Schizosaccharomyces pombe: one gene and its partner. The protein of the gene in region 1 interacts with the protein of each later gene in a pairwise test. Each region holds a gene or a part of one and is shown on either strand. Other genes may lie near its edges. The genes, in order: mrp17 and phx1.

What was found.
Region 2: the proteins of mrp17 (region 1) and phx1 interact in a two-hybrid assay, tested with the Schizosaccharomyces pombe proteins (one large-scale study listed by BioGRID).

What each region holds. Positions count from the first base shown.
Region 1 is NC_003424.3:1,646,476-1,657,387, forward strand, and holds mrp17 (mitochondrial 37S ribosomal protein bS6m), read right to left. Parts: upstream 7,382-10,912; 5' UTR 7,315-7,381; coding exon 7,249-7,314; exon of another isoform or gene 7,132-7,248; coding exon 6,881-7,131; intron 6,832-6,880; coding exon 6,813-6,831; 3' UTR 6,507-6,812; coding exon of another isoform or gene 5,652-6,506; 3' UTR 5,602-5,651; coding exon of another isoform or gene 4,914-5,601; 3' UTR 4,867-4,913; coding exon of another isoform or gene 4,710-4,866; 3' UTR 4,667-4,709; coding exon of another isoform or gene 4,537-4,666; 3' UTR 4,448-4,536; downstream 1-4,447. Other genes in the region: vma1 (V-type ATPase V1 domain-containing subunit A), read left to right, coding at 784-786, 842-941, 984-2,740; pls1 (phospholipid scramblase), read right to left, coding at 3,137-4,282; mug28 (RNA-binding protein Mug28, implicated in mRNA processing), read left to right, coding at 4,537-4,666, 4,710-4,866, 4,914-5,601, 5,652-6,506; UBX domain-containing protein Ubx3, read left to right, coding at 7,809-9,041; methylenetetrahydrofolate reductase Met11, read left to right, coding at 9,764-10,912.
Region 2 is NC_003424.3:2,447,121-2,459,675, forward strand, and holds phx1 (DNA-binding transcription factor, stationary phase-specific Phx1), read right to left. Parts: upstream 9,399-12,555; 5' UTR 8,428-9,398; coding exon 5,599-8,427; 3' UTR 4,673-5,598; downstream 1-4,672. Other genes in the region: protein mug8, read left to right, coding at 1-465; SPOM_SPAC32A11.02C (uncharacterized protein), read right to left, coding at 828-3,383; trp2 (tryptophan synthase), read right to left, coding at 10,538-12,555. UniProt on the Schizosaccharomyces pombe protein: Trnascription factor that regulates the expression of the homocitrate synthase (HCS) lys4.

The DNA of each region.
Region 1 (10,912 bases):
ATAGATCTTTTTACATATTGGTTTTACGTGTCTTCGAATTAAGCTGTAAAGCAATATATTGTTAAAATATACCTACATTTTTAACGCTATTGGATTTAGACTATGTTTACGGGTAATTCAGAGTTTTGCCAATTTCTCAAATGATTTCATTAAGGCCAATACATATTTAATGATTAATTAAAAACTGGAAATGTGAAATCTCTACTCATTAATTTGATATTTAATGCGTGACTTTGTAAAATCTTGGTTTGACACAATTCTGCATCAAACATGCAAAAATTGTAGTTGAAGTCAAATCCTGGTTTTATAATCTTACCGCTGGTTATCTAATTTTAACTATATTAATAATAGGCATCTAATGTGGAGAACACTTGTAATTCACTGCACTTGTTAGCTCCTTTGTAAAGCTCCTGACATTTCTAGCAGGTCACTGTGATATGTGCCAATTTATAATCAATTCCACTTCTGCAAAATATAAAAAAAACTCCATCGGTATGTGTCTACACGAGAATGCACAGATGAATAGATTGAATACAGTGTGAACATTTCACAGCAAACTTAAACCGTAGTGATTACTCATAAATAAATTCCGTTTATTATTTAGCAAGGAATCTTGAATAATTTATTTATTCGCGATTGTTTGGGCTTTGTATTTGTAAAGATCTTTTTACCGATATGACCTACAGGTTATCGTTGTATTGAATGTAGCGTTTCGTTACTGCAACGAAAGTGTTAGACGCCTATCCTTTACCTACTCCACCAGAATAAATATATTATTAGAAGATGGTAAGATAATTAGCTGAATACTTCTAGTCCTCTTTTTTATTAACAAATTTGATAGGCGGGAGGAATTGAACTGGCCAAGAAGGCTATCAGGAGCCTCAAAAATTACGACGAGCATGAAAACCGATATGGATCTATTTTCAGCGTTTCTGGTCCTGGTAAGAAATCGTTAGTTGGAGCTTTCTACTAAACATTTACAGTCGTTGTTGCAGCCAATATGCTTGGATGTTCGATGTACGAACTCGTTCGCGTTGGTCATGAAGAACTAGTTGGTGAAGTAATTCGTATCCATCAAGATAAATGTACTATTCAAGTATACGAAGAGACGTCCGGTCTCACTGTTGGTGATCCTGTCCAACGCACTGGAAAGCCATTATCTGTTGAATTAGGTCCTGGTTTAGCTGAGACTATTTATGATGGTATCCAACGTCCGTTAAAGCAAATTTTCGACAAATCTCAAAGTATTTATATTCCTAGAGGTATTAATACAGAATCACTTAATCGTGAGCATAAGTGGGATTTCACACCAAATAAGGATTTACGCATTGGCGATCATGTATCCGGTGGTGATGTTTTCGGTTCTGTATTTGAAAACTCTCTTTTCAATGATCATAAAATTATGTTACCCCCTAGAGCCCGTGGTACCGTCACATATATTGCTGAAGCTGGATCATACCATGTTGATGAAAAACTTCTTGAAGTCGAGTTTAATGGCAAGAAACATTCTTTTAGTATGTTGCATACTTGGCCTGTCCGTGCTGCTCGTCCAGTTGCGGACAACTTAACTGCTAATCAACCTTTATTGACTGGTCAACGTGTTTTGGATGCGTTATACCCCTGTGTTCAAGGTGGCACTACTGCTATCCCCGGTGCCTTTGGTTGTGGTAAAACAGTTATTTCACAATCTCTTTCTAAGTACTCTAATTCTGATTTGATTGTTTACGTCGGTTGTGGTGAACGTGGAAACGAAATGGCAGAAGTGTTAATGGATTTCCCAGAACTAACAATTGATATTAATGGTAAACCAGAGCCCATTATGAAGCGTACTACATTGGTAGCCAACACTTCTAACATGCCTGTCGCTGCTCGTGAAGCTTCCATTTATACCGGTATTACACTTGCTGAATATTATCGTGATCAAGGTAAGAACGTTTCAATGATGGCTGATTCTACATCTCGTTGGGCTGAAGCTTTGCGTGAAATTTCTGGTCGTTTGGCTGAGATGCCTGCCGATTCTGGTTATCCCGCTTATTTGGGTGCCAAATTGGCTTCTTTTTACGAACGTGCTGGTCGTGCTCGTTGCTTGGGAAGTCCTGACCGTGAAGGAACAGTTTCAATTGTTGGAGCTGTTTCTCCTCCGGGTGGTGATTTTTCTGATCCTGTTACTAGTGCAACCTTGGGAATTGTTCAAGTCTTCTGGGGTTTGGACAAGAAATTGGCCCAACGTAAACACTTTCCCTCAATCAACACCTCTCTTTCCTATTCTAAATACATCAATGCTTTGCAACCTTGGTATGAGGAAAGAGTTCCAGGCTTTAATACTCTTCGTGATCAAATCAAACAGATCATTCAACAAGAAGATTCCATGTTGGAAATTATTCAGTTGGTTGGTAAGTCGGCTCTTTCTGAAACGGATAAAGTTACTTTGGACATAGCCGGTATTATTAAGAATGACTTCTTACAACAAAACGGTTATTCTGATTACGATCGCTGTTGCCCTCTTTACAAGACTTATCATATGATGCGAAACATGATTGCTTACTACACAAAGGCTAAAAGTGCCGTTGAAACTGGTAGCGTTCCTTGGTCAAAGATTAAAGAAAGTACTTCAGATATCTTTTATGAGTTAACCTCGATGAAATTCGAAAACCCTAATGAAGGCGAGAAGGAAATAGTCGAACACTATGAAACTCTGCACAAGAAGATTGAGGACAAGTTTCACACTCTGACTGAGTAATTATTTTTTGAACAACTAAGTTTTTAATTCTAGTTTTTGCTGGCTATAGACTACTAGCTTGATAATACAGACTTCCAGTAAACATTGCTTTCACGTTATCCAAATATATGTCCTAAGTAATTTTGCACATTAAATCGCGAATCAACCGCTTCTCGAAATAATATATTTACACAAATACAAGCCGTCTTCAACAAACTCTTTTGAAGAAATAAATTCAGTGATATAGTCAGTAGTTGTAAATTATGAGAAAAACAAAATAATGACTAGAAGGGATAGTAATAATAATAATAATAATAAAAACAGTAATAGTAATGACTAATCAGATTTAACTTTTTAAGGAGAAAAAGTATCTTTTTGGATATATCGTTAATAAATAAATAATAATCAGTTGAACAATCAATCATCCCCGTCACGGTCAAAAATATCCCAAAAATCTTGCTGATCCAAGTCTGCATCAGACAAAAAAGGAGACTTCGTTTCAGATGAAGAATCATTGGTGGAAGGCGTAGTTTCCTGGTCGTTTTTTAAAATTTCCTGAGCAGACAGGTCTTCAGCTGGATAATCGTGGTTGGAGGAAGAACCTCCAAACATAAACGGAATATTCAGTCCCAGTGCTGGGCCACCATGAATACGGCTAAAATAATCAAAATCAATAGTGACAGCACTGCCTAGCATAACTGCCCTTTCTTCTAAACTCATATCACGTGCACAAACATCATTAGCGATTCCATGAGCAGCTTGAAGCAATTGATTTTCATTTACAGAACCATTGGCTGCACTCGTAGAGGTAAATCGAAGAACGTAATTACCAGTATCAGTAAAAAATTCACGAGGAAGCCCCATGAAATTCCGTGAAACACTACCTAGGATGCGATCCTGCTCGTTTCGCAACAGAAACTCCCAACTTAGCACTCGCTCATCAATTTTGGCAAACTGTTCAAACATAGAACGCTTCGCAAGGAACAATTCATAGCGACGGCGCCATAAATGCCATTTTTGAAGGACTTCGCCAACTAAAGTAGACGAGAACTTACTGTAATCAATAGAATGAATTTGTAACCGGGAGTTTATCCAAGAAAATGGTCGATTGAGTTGTAACACCAACTGGCCGTTACTGTCCATTACATCTGCCTTAAACGCACGATGTGTGTGGAAAAATTGTCTTGATAAACTTGATAATATGGATGAGGCACCCTGTTCTGCAATGTATCCAAGATGCTGACCTTGTTGGTTAAGAATTACATAGCGGTTAGCCTGTTCATAACCAAGAAAAACATTCATCATTTCAAGTTGCCTCTCTACTATAAGAACATCTTGTGATAATAAAGGGGCCGCTGGAGAATTTAATGGAATAGCTCCAGTACTGCTAATGGCAGCAGGCTCTTGAGAGACTACTTTCGCTGTAGCGTCAATGTATCGTGTAGATTTGCTATGATGATAAAGGCGACATCCAAACCGTTTGAGCCCATAAAGCATAGTTAAATGATTACTGGAGACAAAGGTTTGAATTGGAGTAATGTTAGCCCATAGAATTTCAAGCATAGGTTTGAGAAATTAAAATTAGTTTGTGGTTCACCTATACCACAGAGGGTTGCTGAGACAAATATGTAATAAAGGCTGTGTAGTAAGTTTCACAATTTAAAATAGCACATACTATGCGATTACCTTAAAGCTTTACGAAATATAGGATACTACATTAAATTGCTTATGAACAGCTAACATTGCGGTAATTTCCTGTTTACTTTTGTTTACATTGAGAATTCCGAATTCTATAATTACCAACTAGACACATCACAATGATTGCACTTGAAAAACTTTCAGAAAAGAACAAAAGGAGCACTAAGAAGTGTGAAATTTCCATTTACGTAGGGAATTTACCTTCAACGTGCCAAAGCTCAGATCTTCATGAACTGTTTGAACCTTTCGGTAATCGTATATGAATAAACAATTTTTTCTCTAACTGTTTAAGGTAATTTCTCAAAATTCCACATGCTAAGTAGAAAGAAGAATAAGAGTACTGACTCTAAATCCCCAACTTTATTTGCATTTATCACATTTGAAAACAAATGTAGCGCTGACAACGCAATTGCCTCCTTAAACGGGAGTTCGTTCCAAGGAAATACTTTGTACGTAGATTTTAAAATAATAAACGCTAATAGAGCAACAATTATAGGAAGGTCGAGTATACGCATATCGTGGAGAGATACAAAAATAAGTTGGAAAATGGAGTTGACCAAATTCATCACTCGAATAATGAAAAAGCAAAAATTCGGTTTTCAAAAATAGAAAAGTATACAAAGGAAACACGACCGACAGTATCAGAGGTTCGAGTTAGTACCAAAGACAAAAAGGAATATTCGATGAATACCTCAAATTTAGTTCAATCAAACCCCCCAAAAGTGCACGACAAAGAGAATGCATTTGCAGAAGCAACAGGAACTAGTATACTTAGCTCAAAAGCAGTTCAAACACTCTTAGTTTCAGATTTCACGGAGAATGAGCCAAAGCATCTGTCTATCAGGCCAAATTGCAAAGATAATAATACACCGTCCATTTCTAACACTTTTATTGAGCCATATAAGGAAAATAACACGGAACATTTACACCTAAAATCTGCTTTTGAACCCTGTCAAATGATGCCAGGTATGCTTCTAGAACAGAATCCCCAATTTTTGTACGACAACCCTTCTATTTTTGTGATTGGGATTTTAAACCTTCCGTTGAAAGTATCACCAGTCGAGCTTTACAATGAGTTTAGCAATCATGGTCACATTCTCGGTGTAGCCATCAATCAAAGCATAAATGAAGATATGACTCACTACGCAGAAGTGGCTGTGAGCACCTATGAAAGTTGCATAGAGGTATTAAGCAAGCTATTTTTTGCTATAGCATTACTGACCTTTTAATTTAGATCATTGAAAAATTTCACGCCATTGCGTATGAAGGATCCATTTTACAACTTTTTATAAAACAACCTGTTCAGGGATTTTGCTCTAATTTGTTAAATCACCCAGAAGGAACCATGACAAATTTATTGCCCCCAAATATGGAAATGCCTCAGCCGTTTGAAATTCCAGTGATTGCCAAAACTTCTGCTTTGCCAAATCCATTTATTTCATTCCCTTCTTTCCAAACATCGTATGAAACGACAGTAACGCCAACACCAACCTCAACACCGACAATTGATCCTTGTAATTTATTTGTTAAAAACTTGGATGATAATATAGTAGGAAACACACAACAATTAGAAGAACTGTTTTCGAAATTTGGAAGGATAAAATCTTGCACTTTAGCGTCGTATCCCAGTACAGAAATATCCAAAGGCTATGGTTTCGTATCCTTCAGTCATCCATTTGAAGCTGTGCAAGCAATTAACACGTTAAATGGAGTGTTATTCGGAAAGAAAAGATTATTCGTGAATTATGCAGAAAAGAGAGAAGATCGCAAAAAGCGACTGAGTGCTATATTTAGCCAATCTTACCCTCCAGTTGTTCCATCGCCCTCTCTAACAATTCCAATGGCTACTGAACCACAAATTTTAGAGTATCATCAGGAATGGCCTCAACCTCTAATACAATCTATACAGCAGCACGGGTATAGCGATCCTAGACAAACATTACCAACTCGTTTAGATTCATGTGCCGCTAAGCTACGTGAAGCGGTGATTTCAAACGAAAACCTAAACCCAAGCCATAAATTCGGCATAAAACACTCCACATTCAAAACTTCACTATCGCCTTTAACCAACATTGTATTAAACCAATAAATAAAAGCAAGATATGTCTAAAGGACATAATATCAGTACCTGTCGTTTAAATATTTTAACAGTTCTTTTTTTTAATCTATCTCCCATGAAATTTAGGGACATAGTATTATACAAAGAAGATCGGAAAAAGTTGAAACACAAGGAGTCGTTAACAACGGTTGAAATTTCACATTTTAGCTCTGGAAAAGTATGTTTATTTTATAAAAGAAGAAAAGAAGAAAAAACCCCAAAAAAACAAGAATAATAAAAGATAATTGGACAGCTCTGCGAATATTTTTATTTTCTCAAAATATGAATACGCTCATTCTACATTAAATCACTCAATCTACACAAAAGGAATTAGTATAATAAAATAGTTTATAAAAAGAACATACTTATCTGCTTTTTTGACGATCATATAGCGAAGAACCGAAGGTTCAAGTCTCAGAATCCTCTGTATCTCAGATTGAACTGTGGGGTTACTGTAAAAGGTCATAGACCACCAGTGACCAAAAGAGTAAGATTGATTTAGTTTTTTTATAGGTTTAGCCAGTTCCTTAAGTCCCATGGACTCAACATCAACGACCACACCTTTGTTATCCAGGATTGCTCGACCACAATTTTTGGCAATATTCATGGCCAGAGTCTAAATTTATTAGTTCATGAATTCAAATTGTAAAACAGTATCTAGAAAGTAATGAGATAATGACTATCGCTTTGTGGTTCTTCAAAAAGCAAAAACGAGGTATTACCGCTAACTTACTGGTGAGGAAGTGCGTGTTGCATTTGCAGCTGGCCTAGTTATACAAAAAAGTTCATACATAACCATTATATTGCTATACTTTTCAAACTATCAAGAGTGCTTGTTATCGTGTGACCTTTTTACTAGCGTCTGTAAGTGAGAGGTTTGGCGGTACGCTAGGAAAAGAAGAGGTTTGAGTTAAGCACTAAAAACTTCTGTTTCGTAAATTACAGTCTAAAAAGAAAAGAATATATTAACATTAAAGTAAATATAAAGCAAACGTAAAGGAGAAAAACACGAAACGTTTGGGTCGTATATTTGTTACTTAACTTATTTAGCAAGATTCTCTTTATTAGATGAACGTGAAATTTACCAACTACAAGCAGTTACCAACAAAGGATATTTACAGCTATTAGCAGTATATCATCAAAGAAATCTTGATTTTTTTTGAAAGAAGATTGATCGAAAGAGTCAAACACGTTTTAGTCATCAATTGACTTCACATTTCTACTTGTTTGTTCTACAGCTAAAAAAAACACTACAGAACTTGAAATCTTTCTTCTCTTTTTTTCAGAAGTAAAATGGATAGGGAAGATATCTTAAAGGAATTTTGCAATCGCAATAATATTGACGTTAGTCAGGGCCGTTTTTTTTTAGAGTCCACGAATTGGAATTATGAATTGGCTACTGCACTTTTACATGAAGTAATACCTCCTGAAGAAGACCATGGGTTGCAACCTTCCAGTGATGTATCGAAAGTTCCTGAAGTTACTGGAAGCTCAAGTGGAATCAGTGGTGGTGATCAACAACCACCTCGACCGTTGCAAAGACAACAAAATACTCAAGGCCAAGGAATGAAGTCAGGAACTGCATCAAAAAAATTCGCCACGCTTAGGGATTTAGAGGGAAATGATGAAAGTGCAGAAGAGAAATCACATCTCTTTACTGGTGGTGAGAAGAGTGGGCTTTCTGTAGAAGACGGTGATCCTGATCCAAAGAAACAGTTGGTGCGCGATATTCTCGAAAAGGCACGTCAACACACAATATCTCCTTTAGATGAGCAAGATTCAGGTCCTTCTAGTCTTGCATCGTCTTGGGCTAGTGTCGGACAACGATTAGGCACAGAAAATGAGGCTTCTGGTTCGACCACTCCTGTAACGCAGTCAGGTCCTCCGCGTGAAAATCCTCCTACTGAGAGTCAACCAGAAAAGCCTTTACGTCGTACTTTGTACTTTTGGCGAAATGGTTTTAGTGTAGACGATGGTCCTATCTATACATATGACGATCCCGCTAATCAAGAAATGTTGCGTTATATAAATAGCGGTCGAGCACCTTTGCATCTTCTAGGAGTATCTATGAATCAACCAATTGATGTTGTAGTTCAGCATCGGATGGATGAGGATTATGTAGCGCCGTTCAAACCTTTTTCAGGCAAGGGACAACGTCTCGGTTCTACCTACATGCAACCACGAATGTCTCAAATGCCAGGTGGTCTTTACACTGATACTTCTACTTCTTCCTCTGTTCCTATAAATGTCAAACCCAATTCAACAACTCCGCATGCATCTTTACAGATTGACGAAAATAAACCCACCACGAGAATTCAAGTACGCTTATCAAATGGTGGAAGAACTGTCCTTACTGTCAATCTCTCGCATACACTTCATGATATCTATGAAGCTGTACGCGCCGTTTCACCAGGCAACTTCATCCTTTCCGTACCTTTCCCCGCAAAGACTCTCGAAGATGATCCGTCTGTCACTGTTGAAGCTGCTTCATTAAAAAATGCCTCACTTGTTCAAAAATCTCTGTAGTCTAAAAATAATAGGAAAAATAGTGATCCCCAGTTGACATAAGAGCCGTGGATTATTATATGAACATATGTGAGAGCTATTGAATATGGGAAGCATATTTCGGGTTGTCAGAAATCTGATTTCTATTTCTGAAAGGAAACCTTTTATTTATTTAATGATGTCCTATTAAATCATCAAAACAATTTCCAAGTTTGAGTATTTTATTGGTTATATCAGGATATGTAGCTCAGAGATAGTTGAAAACCGGAATTAAAAGTTATCACTATTATGGTTATTAATAAACATCTGTAGTTACCAAAGGACCTTTTTGAAAACATTGATTTTAAAAGAAATGCTATGATATGCTATCAACGTGGCACTAAGTATTAGCAAATTGACCTAAGATATACATAAACAAAAACTATTATTCATGAATGTAATTCCCATCAAACAATAATTAATGTTGGAGTTTGAAATATCAACCAACTTTTCTGCGCAAATACGTTTAGTCTTTACTGTTCAGTAAACCTTGACACAAGCAGTTAAGCATTGCAGCAAAGTCTGCTATTGTTTAGTGTAGTACTAATTTATGGGTTATTGTATTTATAGTGATGTTAACCAAAATTTGTAAGAAATCGTTACTACATCGAATCCATGATTTGATTCAACTTATCGCGAAGAGGGCATTTCCTAAGCGCACACCTCAAATACCTTCAATTTTGCTTCGATATCCCTAAGCAATCATGAAGATTGTTGATTTGATTGATAAAATTCCTAATGGAAACGCATTCTACTCATTTGAGTATTTTCCACCGAAAACCACAGTCGGTTTGGAAAATCTTTCTAGTCGTATAACGAGAATGTCGCGAAACATGATGCCATTATTTTCTAGTGTAACATGGGGTACAGCTGGTTCTACTGCGGAGGTCTCAATTTATTTAGCCAAAATGCTAGAGCAGCATCACAAAATCCCAGCTTGTTTACATTTGACGTGTACCAATGTAGATAAAGCCATAATCGATAAGGCTCTCGAAACTGCTAAGGAATATGGAATTCGTAACATCTTGGCCTTGCGAGGTGACCCGCCTTTAAATAGCGATCATTGGGAAGGAAAGGTTAGTGAGTTTGAGCACGCGGTGGATTTAGTACGATACATACGTGAAAAATATGGAGATTACTTTTGTATAGGTGTCGCTGCTTATCCTGAAGGTCATGTCGATTCCAACGTTCCGGAGCTGTCTAAAGATCCGTTACGAGACATTCCTTTCCTGATTGAAAAAGTTGAAGCTGGCGCTGATTTCATAATTACTCAAATCTTCTACGAGCCCGAAGCTTTTATTAAATTTGAAAATTTTGTTAGGAATCATAGCTCTAATGCTTTACGAAATATTCCCATTATTCCCGCCATTATGCCTATTCAATCCTATGGAAGTCTTAAAAGAATGACTCGTCTTTGTGGTTGCAGTGTTCCCTCTTCCTTAATGCAGCGCCTTAATGCAGCTAAACCAGATGATGAAGCTATAAAAAACATTGGTGTCGAGCACATAGTTGATATGATTAAAAAGATAATGGACAATGTGCAAGGCCGGGTGCATGGATTTCATTTTTGCACACTGAATTTGGAACGATCCGTTGCTCTTATCCTTAAAAACAGCGGTTTGCTTACCAAACGTTGGAAACAGGTTGAGTCAGAGATGGAGGATGAGAAATTGCTTCGAACAACCCGCAAACGTCTTAGCCTTGATGAACCCGCGGAACTTCATAATCAAGTAGTTGTTCCCTCTCAGCAACCAGTTGCCGACAAATCGTCGAATCTTTTCGTAACTTCTAAACAAAGTAGTGTATCTGGCCACAAAGACAATTTAACCGAAGAAGCACCGTTCTCCGTTTCT
Region 2 (12,555 bases), 800 kb from region 1:
TCAAACATGCTCAATACACTTCCCCCTACTTCGCAGGGCGCAACGAGTACTACAGTTTCTTCTGCGTCCAGCAATTTCCTCTCTTCTTCCTGTACGCCCATCGATGATACCAATTCTGTCACTGGCTCTACTTTATCTTGTTCATTTGACGAGATGAAGCTTAGTGATAAAATAGATGACGCCAATTCATTAAAAGATGATGATTTCATACAAGGATCGAAAAAAGATTTTTTTGAAATGAATCTCAATCATTCATCCTACCAAAACAAGGACGAGCTTAAACCTTTTCAATTATTAGTTAAACATGCGTTCAAACCGCCTTCCTATAGACTAATTCGTCCTCCGCTACGCGATTGGCAGTCCTCTGATACACTGTCCAGTGAAATGTCTAAGTCGATTTCATCATCTCGAAGCAGTCCATTTTCTTTAGAGCAAACAATCTCTAAAATTCAAAATAAATTATAGGACTTCTTGTAATGAAACGCTTATTCTTTTGATCTCATTTGGCTTAATCTTACTAATATATTCTACGACTTACTATTTTCATTTTATTTTTAGCTTTATTTTTATATAACGAATAAAATATGTACAACCTATTTTCCTTACTTATTCCGACCAGCGATGTAAAATAAGTTAAATACGACATGTACAGAATACGGTAATAAAATGCTATCATATTATAAAGTTACTTTTATAGCTAGAATTGACTCAGGAATTAATGAAAAAAAATTTTGATTAATAAATAAAGATAATAACAATTCGTTCTCAAATTAAAACTAAACAACGAGAAAAAGGTTAGTAAGTTTAAGACACGCACATTAGTTAAGTTAGGCCACGGCGGGTGGCTGATTATACAAAATGCGGTTTTTACGGGGATCTGTAGAATTTAATAATTCTATATCATGCTGGTCGTCGCCAAAACTCGGTATTGAAGAGACAGCGACGCTAGCTCTTTTCTCATTAACTGCAAGTGGAGGTAACGGAATTTCTGTTACATTTCCTTTCACTATTTGATCATTCAAAATAGTACGGCTTAAAGTGTCATGACTAAGTGGATCCTCAGTTGACCTTTGGCGCTCTTCAGAAGAAGTGTAGGTAGTATAAGTACCCTTGGAAGCTGGACGGTTTTTATGCTTCTCTTTTTTCAAACGACTTTCACGCGATTTGACACTACCCTTAGTTCTCTGATAAAGCCTAGAACCTCTGTCTGTAGCCCAAGGGCTATCGCTGTCTTCTGAATCATCGACTCCAAATATATTGAACGCAGGAGAATGCCAAGTGGATCCGGAAAGCGCAGCCCTTCTCTTTTCCTCACTACGCTGTAAATTACCTGATGGCAAAACTATGTTATTGAGCGCAGTATTTTCTTTGTGCAGGGCAACCCGAACTTGAGAATCCTTACCCTTTTCTTTACTGGATTTATGAAGATTGGAAATCCTTGAATATGCCACCCTACCATACACCTTGAGTTTTGATTCCTGATCTTCTGTCGGCTTGGAAGAATCTTTTTCTATCTCAGATTTGGCTTCCTTATGTATTTCGTACCATTCTCTATCGACTTGTTCAAAAGCATGACGAATTGAAAGCTCCATGGACCTTGCTACGGTAGATCTCACGTATGTCATGAGTGAGGGCTTTAAGAAAGCGAGTAATAACCTGTGCCTTGATTTACGAATTTTTAGCTTAATGTGATGTATGTCCACCTTCACGTCCTCCACCTTAAAAAAGGAATCCGGAAGTTCGTTTTCAAACATAGTATTTGAGAATGATGAGAGTGTCAAGTTCACGACCATGCCTTGCTTACCAATTAACAAATCGACAACTCCAAGATCAGTAAAGGTAGGGAAGCCTTGCTTGCGCTTAATATAGTAGTTGACGTCTTTTAAGTCACACTGGATGTTTGAGAGATGAACGTTTATCATGTTTTCACGGAAAGAAGTAATATTAGCATACGGGGAGAACCTCACGAAGTTGTTATTCCTAAATTCGGCTAACTTGGGCAAAACATTCGCGGTTTGTAAATTAAGGTTTTCAAGAACAACGTCGAAATCAGGTTGCTCAATTTCCAACCTAGGTATTGGGAAATATTGCATCTTTTCCAAGATAACGGGTACCCCCAATCGAAGTATCTCCAGGCACATGGAAGTTTTCAAAGAGATTTGTCCTCCTTCTCTCTTAATTAAATCGCCGTATATATTTTTATAGTTGCTAAATAATTGCTTGACATCCTTGTCGGAAGAAGCACTATCGGAAATCTTTTTGACTTCGGATGAGAGTTGTTGCCAACGTTTCTTGTACCGACCGTTAAGCAGTTCATCGCCTTTATCTCGCAACTTGTTAAATTCTTTATCCGAGGCATCACTTTTTGCATAGCCCTTTTTCAAAAGCACCTTGCGAACAAACTGGCGGGTAGATTCTAACCAGTCTTTTAGTTCTTCATCATTCTCAGCATCATGCTGTACTTGTTTTAAGGTGTCAATCAAATTATCAAGAGATCGATTTAAAATGTTTTCCACGAGTTGCTTCAAATATTGCATAGCACGATCGTAATGTTCGTTAGTGTCAGCAGTAACATTTCCACTCTGTTCACTGAGTTTATCGATGAACTTGTCAATTAGATTCAAAAGACTGCGAACAGGATGCTGATATTTTGGATCTCCCTGCAAATCCACAGCGACAGATTTAAACTCTTCGTAAAGATCTTGAAGTTTTTGTTTGGTTTCCTCTTTAGCCTTTTGCGCATCAGGATCATTTTTAATCTTATCTTTGGCCTTGCTTCCTTGTTCGCGAGCTTGGTCGCGTGCGGAAGCTCCATTTCTCATGTTTTGCTTAACTTTGTTCACTCCATTGCGAAGGTTATCCGATTTTTTTCCATCCTGCTCGTTCAATTTTTTACTGGCAACATTCGTTGTTTGCTGGCCCAAAAGTACAATGGCGTTTTGCAAAAGCGTTCGCAGTTTACCATTGTTAAAGATGAGCAAGAACAACTGCTTCAGGTCCTCGGTACTGAAATCTTGACTTTGCATATCTTCGGTGATATCATTCCAAACCTCATTAACATTTGTAGAGCCTTCAGCTTGCGATAATTCATAAATTGCGTTTTGGAGCAAATCTCCTTCGTTCTTTTTCGCAAATACATTAAAGCTATTATCAATAAGCTTGGAAAAGTCACTAAAAAATTTCCGAGCCGGATCAGAGATTTTCTTTTGCCTCTCTTTGGCAACGGATTTCGCACCGTCCGTCAGCGACGAACCGAGCCCTCGAAGCTGTTTGTTCGAGGGCATCTTGCCGTTCGAAATAGCTGTCCATATTGAATAAACTTCTAATCCTTTTCCAGTTTCCTCATGCACAACATGCTTGTCAGTGGGATAAGCAACCGCCATACTTGCTCAACGACTAATGCGAAAAAGATTAGCAGCAATTAATCACTTAATGATAGTAACAAGCGAGACACGTCAGCTAATATCAGATGGTTACAAGTGTAAAAGTGATAAATAAACAAGACTGAAGATATCCTTTCCTCTTCAGCACTCCAAAATCAGGATTTTACAGTAAAAACCTCTTGTTATGGGATAGACAGACACACAAGTGCGATCAATCAAACAAATAATCAAATGTCGCTTTGATGGAATCCTCCTTAAGTAAAGAGATATATGGTTTCGCTTTATTTTCCTAAAATTCCTTGTCGCAACTTTATTTCAATTCTGTACAAAGATTATAACTTTATAGGACCATGGCGACATTAAATACATTTATTTAAAGCCTTTACGTTATGACTATCTCAGCCATACTCGAATTAGGCTGTGGCGTCATGAAAACTTGCATAATCATCTTTACTTACGAAGTATTAGTGTCAATCCACTCTCCTGTTCATAAAAGAATGGCTCATATGAGAATGGCTACTCTAGTAATGACAGGTTCAAGAATACGTGCATTCTCGTCATTAAGACACTATATTGACGTTCAACCGTTTCATGTCCAAAACTATAGTGTAGTTTGAAGAAGTAAACTACGTCATGCGCTAAATATGTGATGTGGTTATATATTGCAGTAAGTATCGCTATTTACTGGCTTGCTACATATTGTTCTTCATTATTCGGTAAACAGTGGAAGAAGAAGGGCTGGGCTGGCTTACTTGTTCTTGTTAGTTGATCGATTGGTCGCAATGTTCAATCGATATATGGAAGGCGTTTCTTTCACTTCTTTTTCTCTTTTTTGGCTTTCTTATTGTTCGGAGAATTTCCGTATCTTAGAGTGTTTCAGTATAATCAATCATCTATCTAATCTGGTGTGTGCTGCTTTAGCTTCAGCTTATAGGCATCAGCAAAAAACAACATCACCTTCAAAGTAGGCGCCCGAAATCATTGTTCATATTTTTGTCCTATACTTTTGTACTAACTGATAAAAATTATTTTATAGATATTAAAAGCAAATCTTATATATTTGTCACCTCCAAACAATTTTTTTATTGATATTCTCCATTCATGAAACATAAATTCATTCTTATAATAAAACAAAATAAATTTTAAGAAAATGAAAAAAATATATATTACGAGCTTAGTCTAAATACATTCTAATATACATCTTTAAAATAAATTTTCTAATATTATATCTTAACAATTATTACTTTGGTTCATTCAATTCTTTGCTCATCTCAAAAAATTATCTACTAGTGAAATGTTTATTTACACAGAAAATGACTATATATGGCATGCACCTCTTAAAAAAAAGGCGGACAGCTTCGTTGATGGATTATGTTTCAAAGAATCTAATTCTACTAAATTAACTCATAATGCTTTCAAAATTATTATAGTTTATGTGCAAAAACTGTGATGCTGAAACGTTCCCGCTGGAAAGGAGAAATAACGAAAATAATAATCGTCCTAAATGTCAAATTAATAAAAAAAAAAACATGAAAATAAAGTAATAATATACATGAGGAAAAAGAAATTATTCATAACTTAAAAAGAGAAATAAATGGTAAATAAAAAAGTTTAAAGTCGCCAAAAAAATATGTGTCGGCTAAACATGCAAAAACTCAATAATCCAACTCACGCTCGTGGGTACGATACTGTTCAAACTCCATTACATTTTTTCAGTGGAATTTGGATTCGATCATTGACGGAGTTTCTTCAAATGAAATGCTAGGATCATTAAGTATTGCATACACGATACAACAATATGTAATACCTCCTATCGCTTTGGAACATAAAATAAAATAAAATTAAAGAAGTAAAAAAAACATAAACCATACATAATCGTATATGAAGTGCCTTGTAGAGGTCTTTTATTTTTTTTTTCGCATCAAAGTTCTTCCCAGACAATAATACATGGAAGCACAATTTTTTTCCATGGAATTGTATTTTTATCACCAAATTAAACATTATTCAAGAATACCTTGTATAATATAGATCAAAAATTAATCCTTTAAACCTTTTAGAGATATTGATGAATTTATAAAAACGTAAGCGGTCATAAAAATACAAACGAGGCATGTAATTTTCAAGAGTTAAACATCTTCTCGTTATCAAAAGAAAACGAAAATAAGCAAGCTTCAAGCGAGTTTCAATTGTACCGTTAATCATCATATCACAAAATTTACTGCATGTCCGGAGAAAATTGTTGACCACGAAGTTTCTGAAAATCTATACCAGCAGAAGGAGAGTAAACATCCTCAAATGGACTACCACTTTGGTCATGAGATAAGTAGCCCGAAGCTCCGGGTTGCGACGCATACACACCACCGCTACTACTTTTCTCAATTAAATTACTATCCTGTCCAGCAGATGATGCTAAAGGTATAGACGGTGTTTGAATGAATAACCGAGGAGCAACCCCAGCAGAAACAGATGAATTTGTACGGGCTTGCGCGTAAACAGACTCTTCAGATGGTACTTCAAATCCATACGACGGGACAGAGTTCTCAGTAGCAAGGGAGACATCTCCAAATGGTACCTGAGATAACTGTTGACTTGGTGCATTCATCGTGGTGGAAATTGAAGAAGAGCCAATGCCGCCAAATTCTCTGTTTTGAGTCGTAAATGGGACGGATACGTTTGTGTTCATTGACCATGAATTTGGAGTGAGACCACCAGTTTGTGAATTGGGAAACTGCGCTGCCATGTCTTTTATTTCCGTGTTAATACCTTGTGTATTTGGATGCATCACAGGTCGGCTTGGTGAATTGGATGCTCGAGGAAGTGAGCCGACATCGGATGGTGCCGATAAAGGATATGATATATTAGATGTGCCAAGCTCACCAAACTGCGTGTTATCAAGATTAAGCGCTAAATTATGGTGCGGATAAGCAGATGAAACTGAAGGCTCATAAGAGTTTAGTCTTGTAGAACTTCCTTCCAAAACATTAGCAGATTTCATTGCTTGAGTAATAGGAGACACAGATTGAGCATGCATAAGCCCTTCAGTATTAGTTTTCGGAGGTAAAAGATGCTGAGCCAAATCCTGTCTAGCAGGGGTTGAAGTGCTACGAAGCCTTTTAAACTGGCTTTTATTGCCATATTCAGAAGAAGTGTCATGAGACAATCCCTGGATAGGAGGGTTTCTTCCTTGATGATCAAATACAGAGCTATCAGGTTGTCTAGGAAGTTGATTAGCCCATTGAGGGTCCAAAAATTGGTGAGGATTAAGACCTTTTTGAAGGCGGATTACAGACCCCAACTCTGGCGATGCCCTTCGAACCCGATCGAGCATTTGAAACATGCTAGTAGCTCTTCCCATCAAAGAATGTAATAAAACTTCCGAAGCCTGATTACCCTCAGTAAAATCCGTACAATTTCCCTGTCCTTCGGAAGTGATCATGTGAAATACTGGTGGAACACTCAGCTGAATATCCATTTGAAGCCAATATTCATTTGGTGCCGGTTTATCTCGACTAGACGCAGTTGCACTCAACTCATTTAACAAGGGCTCCTCTACTCTAAAAACGTGTATCGACTCAATGACAAAAAAAGAATATTCAATACGATACTGAATCCCCTGGAATTGAATCAAATATGCAAATAATTTCTTTGGCGGAGAGTAGAAACACATTAAATCCTGAGGAGAGGCTCGTAGTCTTTTCCATAAACCAATTACTAGTAATGTACAAGAAAAGTAGTAAAATTCCGAATCATATGAGGTCGGTTCTGAAGAAGTACGCATGTGCCCTGTTGCCATATTAGGAGGACGAACAGGCCCTGATGCTTTGTATGATGAAGGCTTGGAATGACCGAACATTCTGTAACCCCCAGAACTAGGGCTCACTTCTCTAGGATAGGAGTAAAGATCTGACTCTGGTTGAGGCATACGGATGCCTGTAAGTGGAGTAGCATACGAAGAGGGTGGAGATTCTACGTCGAAAGCTTGATTTGATACCGACATAGCATTTGGGATTGCGGAATAAGAAGAGGCAGAGTATTTCCTTTGACTTGAGACAGGAACGGCATTTGGACTTAGACTATTGTAGTATGTACTAGAAAGAGACTGACGGATCGGAATGTCTGACTCTGCTATGCATGGCTCCATGGAAGATTGCATAGGTCCACTTTTCATATAAAAGTTTCCTGTTTTTCTAGTTGGTTTAGGCAATAACGTGTTCGCATACTGCCTATTAGCTGCTATTCCCCCAACGTAGGGACTGGTAGGTGAAGTAGACAATACTTCGTGCGCAAATGCTTGTGAAACTTTTTGATTTAAGGAATCCAATTCTCTCTGCTCACGAAGGATCCTTTGTCTTTCTTCTTCTTGACGTCTTGAAATGAGCTTTGATTTTGCTCTTCTGTTTTGAAACCAAATAGTTACGCTACGTTCCGGAATATTCAACTCGCGTCCAATTTTTTCCCTTATAGCTGGAGGTGGATTAGTATCTTTGGAGAATTCCCGAAGCAAATAAGCAAGTTGATCTGCAGTAAGGCGCTGTTTTTTGCTCTTTGGCGCAGAAGTAGATCCGCCGCTCTCAGGAGTACCACTTTCGTGAGCGACATTCTCCTTAGCTTTCTCAACAGATGTAGCTTCAACAACTTCATTTTGCTTTGAATTAGCAGGTTCCGACTCAGATTTAACAATATTAGGTTGAACTGGCGATGGATTCGTCAATTTCGAACTATTCACATTATCAAATGAATTATTATCTGCAAAACTCGGTGCATCCGGTTTGGGTTTCTCCTGTTTCCAATCTACTTTGTTTTCGTCAAATTCAGGAGGAAAATAATTAGGATTGGTAGGATTTTGCTGTTCCCCTTGAAGATGCTGCTCATACGTTGAATGGGGTAATTGCATGTTATTATCAGATGGAAACTGACCGAGAAAAGAATCCATGTCATAGTTGCTCAAGGACAAATTCTCCGGGAGCATTGTAGGTCGCTTCTCAGAATAATTAATATTGTCATTAATTTGACCACCATTTTCTGGGTTCGAATAACTACGCATATTGTTCTTAGAAATAAAATGAAATGAAAATAAAATCCTTATGAGAAATAAAAATTTGCTTCAAAAAGTATGCCAAGAAATGCAAATTGAATGGTGACTTTGGAAGATTAATTAAAGAAAGCTCAGAGAAATAAAATGATGTAAAAAAAATTAAATTGAAAGAAATTCCGTGGAATCTCTGAGTACTTGAGGAGACGCAAAAAACGTGAACCTGGTACCCTCGAAATATGGGGCACTTATGAAACCCCAGCCGCTGAATTTATTGTAATTAAAAACTTATCCTATCCAAAAAAAAGTTTGACCAGAAGAAAACCCTAACGAAATAAATTTGATCCCTTCTTGGAGGGGACTTCTCTCTTTAGCTTTTGTAGCAGAGATTGTAGCTATGTTCAGATACATAAGCACAGTGGACAAGCAATACCCAAGCTTTAAAGTCTCCAAGTAGAAATAATTAGTACGCCTTCTAGATCTTGAAAGAAACTGATTGACGAAAACTAAGAGACACGACCCTTTGTAGACAGAGGCTATCGATCCCTGGATATCTCACAAATGTCAAAACAAATAAAAATTGACTAAATGAAGAGATGAGTTGTCAAATTTGCCTAAAAATTAAATAATAAAAGTTTGCTAATTAAATGATAAAAAATATTGCAAAATTAACAATATAATTATTCCCTTCTCTTTCCCCAATTTTTCTTTCCCTTTTTTGTTATTAAAAAAATAAATAAACCAAATAATTAAAGATCCGAATGTAATTGAGATATTCGTTAACGTTCACTGCTAATAGATCGTTGCTGATTGCTCCTCTAAATCTAATGCAATAAAACACAACTTGAAATATCGTAAAGAGATGCAATTTCACTCCAATTTGATCCTTGCAAGAGCCTAATTAATTTCTGTCCTAATTTAATGAATTAAACAGAATGCTTATGGTTTCATAAATAATGTAGTTTTTATATGGTTGATGTGGTGGTTTTAATTCACATATCGCTCTTCACTTAACTAACCGAACAATTATATTACGAACTCTAACGTACTACCTTGCCTTAGAAACGACGCCCCCAATACATATTGGTAAATCCTTTAGTAAAGTGAATGAACGATCGATTGCTTCTAATGAGCAAGTCTTTGTTTTTAAGACCTATTATTTGAAGGATACTTTTGTCGAATGGGTACATCTAGGGTCATATGTAATTCATAGAATATATAGATAAATCATAATTTTGTCCTCAACTTTACTATTAACTATGTGGGGAATTGTGGAGAAACACTAATGTTACATTTACTGTCTAAACTGTAAGCGAGAATACTACCTATCTGAATATTGTAATATAAAAACATAGAAACATTACTAAATTTTTAAAAATTTGATCTGTACCACTTGTTTGATTTTATACTTTTTTTTCAATTTATTCTACGGGTAATGCTGTTTTAGGAGTGCGAACTTAAGTAATTGTAATTGGGAGTTTTACCATAGTTCAAAGATTTGTGACACTTTTTATTATTCAGTGCTAAAGACTTGAGTGGTCTTATTAGGCGAATATACAGAAAGAATTTTATTTTCTCTCCATAAACTGCTAACTTCAATCTGGAAGATTTGCTAATATACCAAAGATTAAAGCTTATGTTAATAGACTATGTCGCGACTCTAAAAAGCCAAAACCATATAAATTGAAAATACTACGACATCTTGCTCGTGCTGATAAATTGTTTTAAAACATTTTTTGCACTTGCATTGTAGTGTAAATAGGACATGATTCTCAAAATCATAGACTAAAGAAAACCGCTTTGTTGAATGTTCTTCTTCAGCATACACATAATTCTCTTAAGCCTTTGAAAAATTAGCCTAAGAAATTAAATCCACAGAAAACCTTTATTAGGTAAATAAGTACAGTATTATGTACAGGTTATTACATGACTACAACGCTATTTAAGGCTAGTAAATAGTAGAAGCAAAATTGAAATGATATTTATAGATAAAAAGAAATACACATATGTTTTGGTATAAAAAAGTTTAATCGCATGCGATGCTTGTATATCTATAGATCGCAACTCCGCTTAAGTTTACGGAGCCTTAATATAAATCAGAAAATCGTGAGTAGAACATTGCTTAAAAGCGAAGGTCCCATCCAATTTTAGGACCTAAAATAGGAAGTTGTTCAGCTACGCTTTGAACATCCTTGTCACCACGACCTGAAATGGTGATCACAATATCCTTATCTTTAGGTAACTTTTTAGCAAGCTCCATTCCACCATACACAGCATGAGAAGATTCCAAAGCGGGAATGATACCTTCAAGATGACATAGAGCGCGGAATCCTTCTAAACATTGAGCATCAGTGACAGCGATAAACTCTGCGCGATTGGTATATTTAAGTTCAGATAATTCGGGTCCCACACCTGGATAATCCAATCCAGCAGATATAGAGTGAGTATCTTGAATTTGTCCATCTTCGCGTTGCAGAACATATGTTCGAACTCCATGAAATACACCAACTTTTCCCATAGTCAATGTAGCACTATGTTTGGGGGTATCTACACCATCACCACCAGCTTCACAACCCAACATCATTACACTTTTATCGGCTTTGAAGGGAGAAAACATTCCAATCGAATTGGATCCACCACCAACACAAGCAACAACTGCATCAGGAAGTTTTTTACGCTTCTCTTGCATTTGCGCTTTCGTTTCCTCGCCAATGACACTTTGGAAAGTTTTAACAATGGTAGGGAATGGATGAGGGCCAATTGCAGATCCAATTAAATAATGAGTGGTGTCTATTTGTTCGACCCACGCCTTCAAAGCTTCGTTAACAGCATCACGAAGGGTCTGTGTACCTGAAGTAACCGGAACGACTTCAGCTCCCAAAAGACGGATGCGAAAAACGTTGAGTGCTTGACGACGACAATCTTCTGCACCCATGTAGATAGTACATTTCATACCAAATTTAGCGGCACAGATAGCAGTAGCAACTCCATGCTGACCAGCACCAGTTTCAGCAATGATACGGTTTTTTCCTAAACGTTTGGCAAGAAGAATTTGCCCAATACAGTTGTTAATTTTGTGTGAACCACCATGATTCAAGTCTTCACGCTTCAACCAAATATGGGCACCACCACAATACTCAGTTAAACGCTTAGCATAATCGAGGGCACTTGGACGACCCATATACTCATAATAAGAACGAAATTCTTCCCAAAACTTTTCATCATGCAAAGCCTTATAAAATACACTTTCAAGTTCAACTAAGCACTGGGTTAATGCTTCTGGAACATACATACCACCAAACATGCCATATTTTTGAGGAAGATACATTTCGTTGATAGGTTCGACCACAGCAGCAGGGGGGGCAGTAGCAACAGAACCACCGGATTGAAACTGTTTAGGTACAGGTGCGGATGGGTCTTCTTTAGTAAGATATTTACAATATTCCTCAACCACGGTAGCAGCAGTGCCAGGCTCTGCCTTCAAAATCAAATCGATAATTTTGCTTCCAACTACAACACCATCTGACACGCTGCCAACTTGGTGGAAATGTTCACTGGTGTTAACACCAAAACCAACTGCTAGAGGGGTATCTCCAGCAAATTTACGAACACGCTGACAGAGCTGAGGCAAAGCAGTATTGATTACTCCGGTAGCAGATGATCCTGTACTACCCATACGAGAAACAACGTAAATAAAGGAGTCAGCCACAGAGGCCAAGAGCTCCATACGCCTGTCCGTAGTAGAAGGAGCAACAAGAGGAACGAAACTAACACCTTGCTTTTTACATTCTTCTCTAAAGCCGACAGCCTCCTCTGGAGGAAGGTCAACGATGATGAAACCATTAGCGCCAACCTCCTTTGCCTTTTGAATAGTTTTGGCATCTCCATAACTGAAAATAGGATTGTAGTAACCCATCAAAATTATAGGGATAGTTACACCTGCATCACGAGCGAGCTTTACAGTTTCAAATACTTTTTCTAAAGTAATATTATTCTTCAAAGCAATTTCGTTTCCCTTGCAAATTGTAGGACCATCAGCGACGGCATCAGAAAAAGGAATACCAAGCTCAATTATTCCTGCTCCTCCATTTTGCAAACCTTGCATAATTTTGATAGTTTCATCAACATTAGGAAAACCGC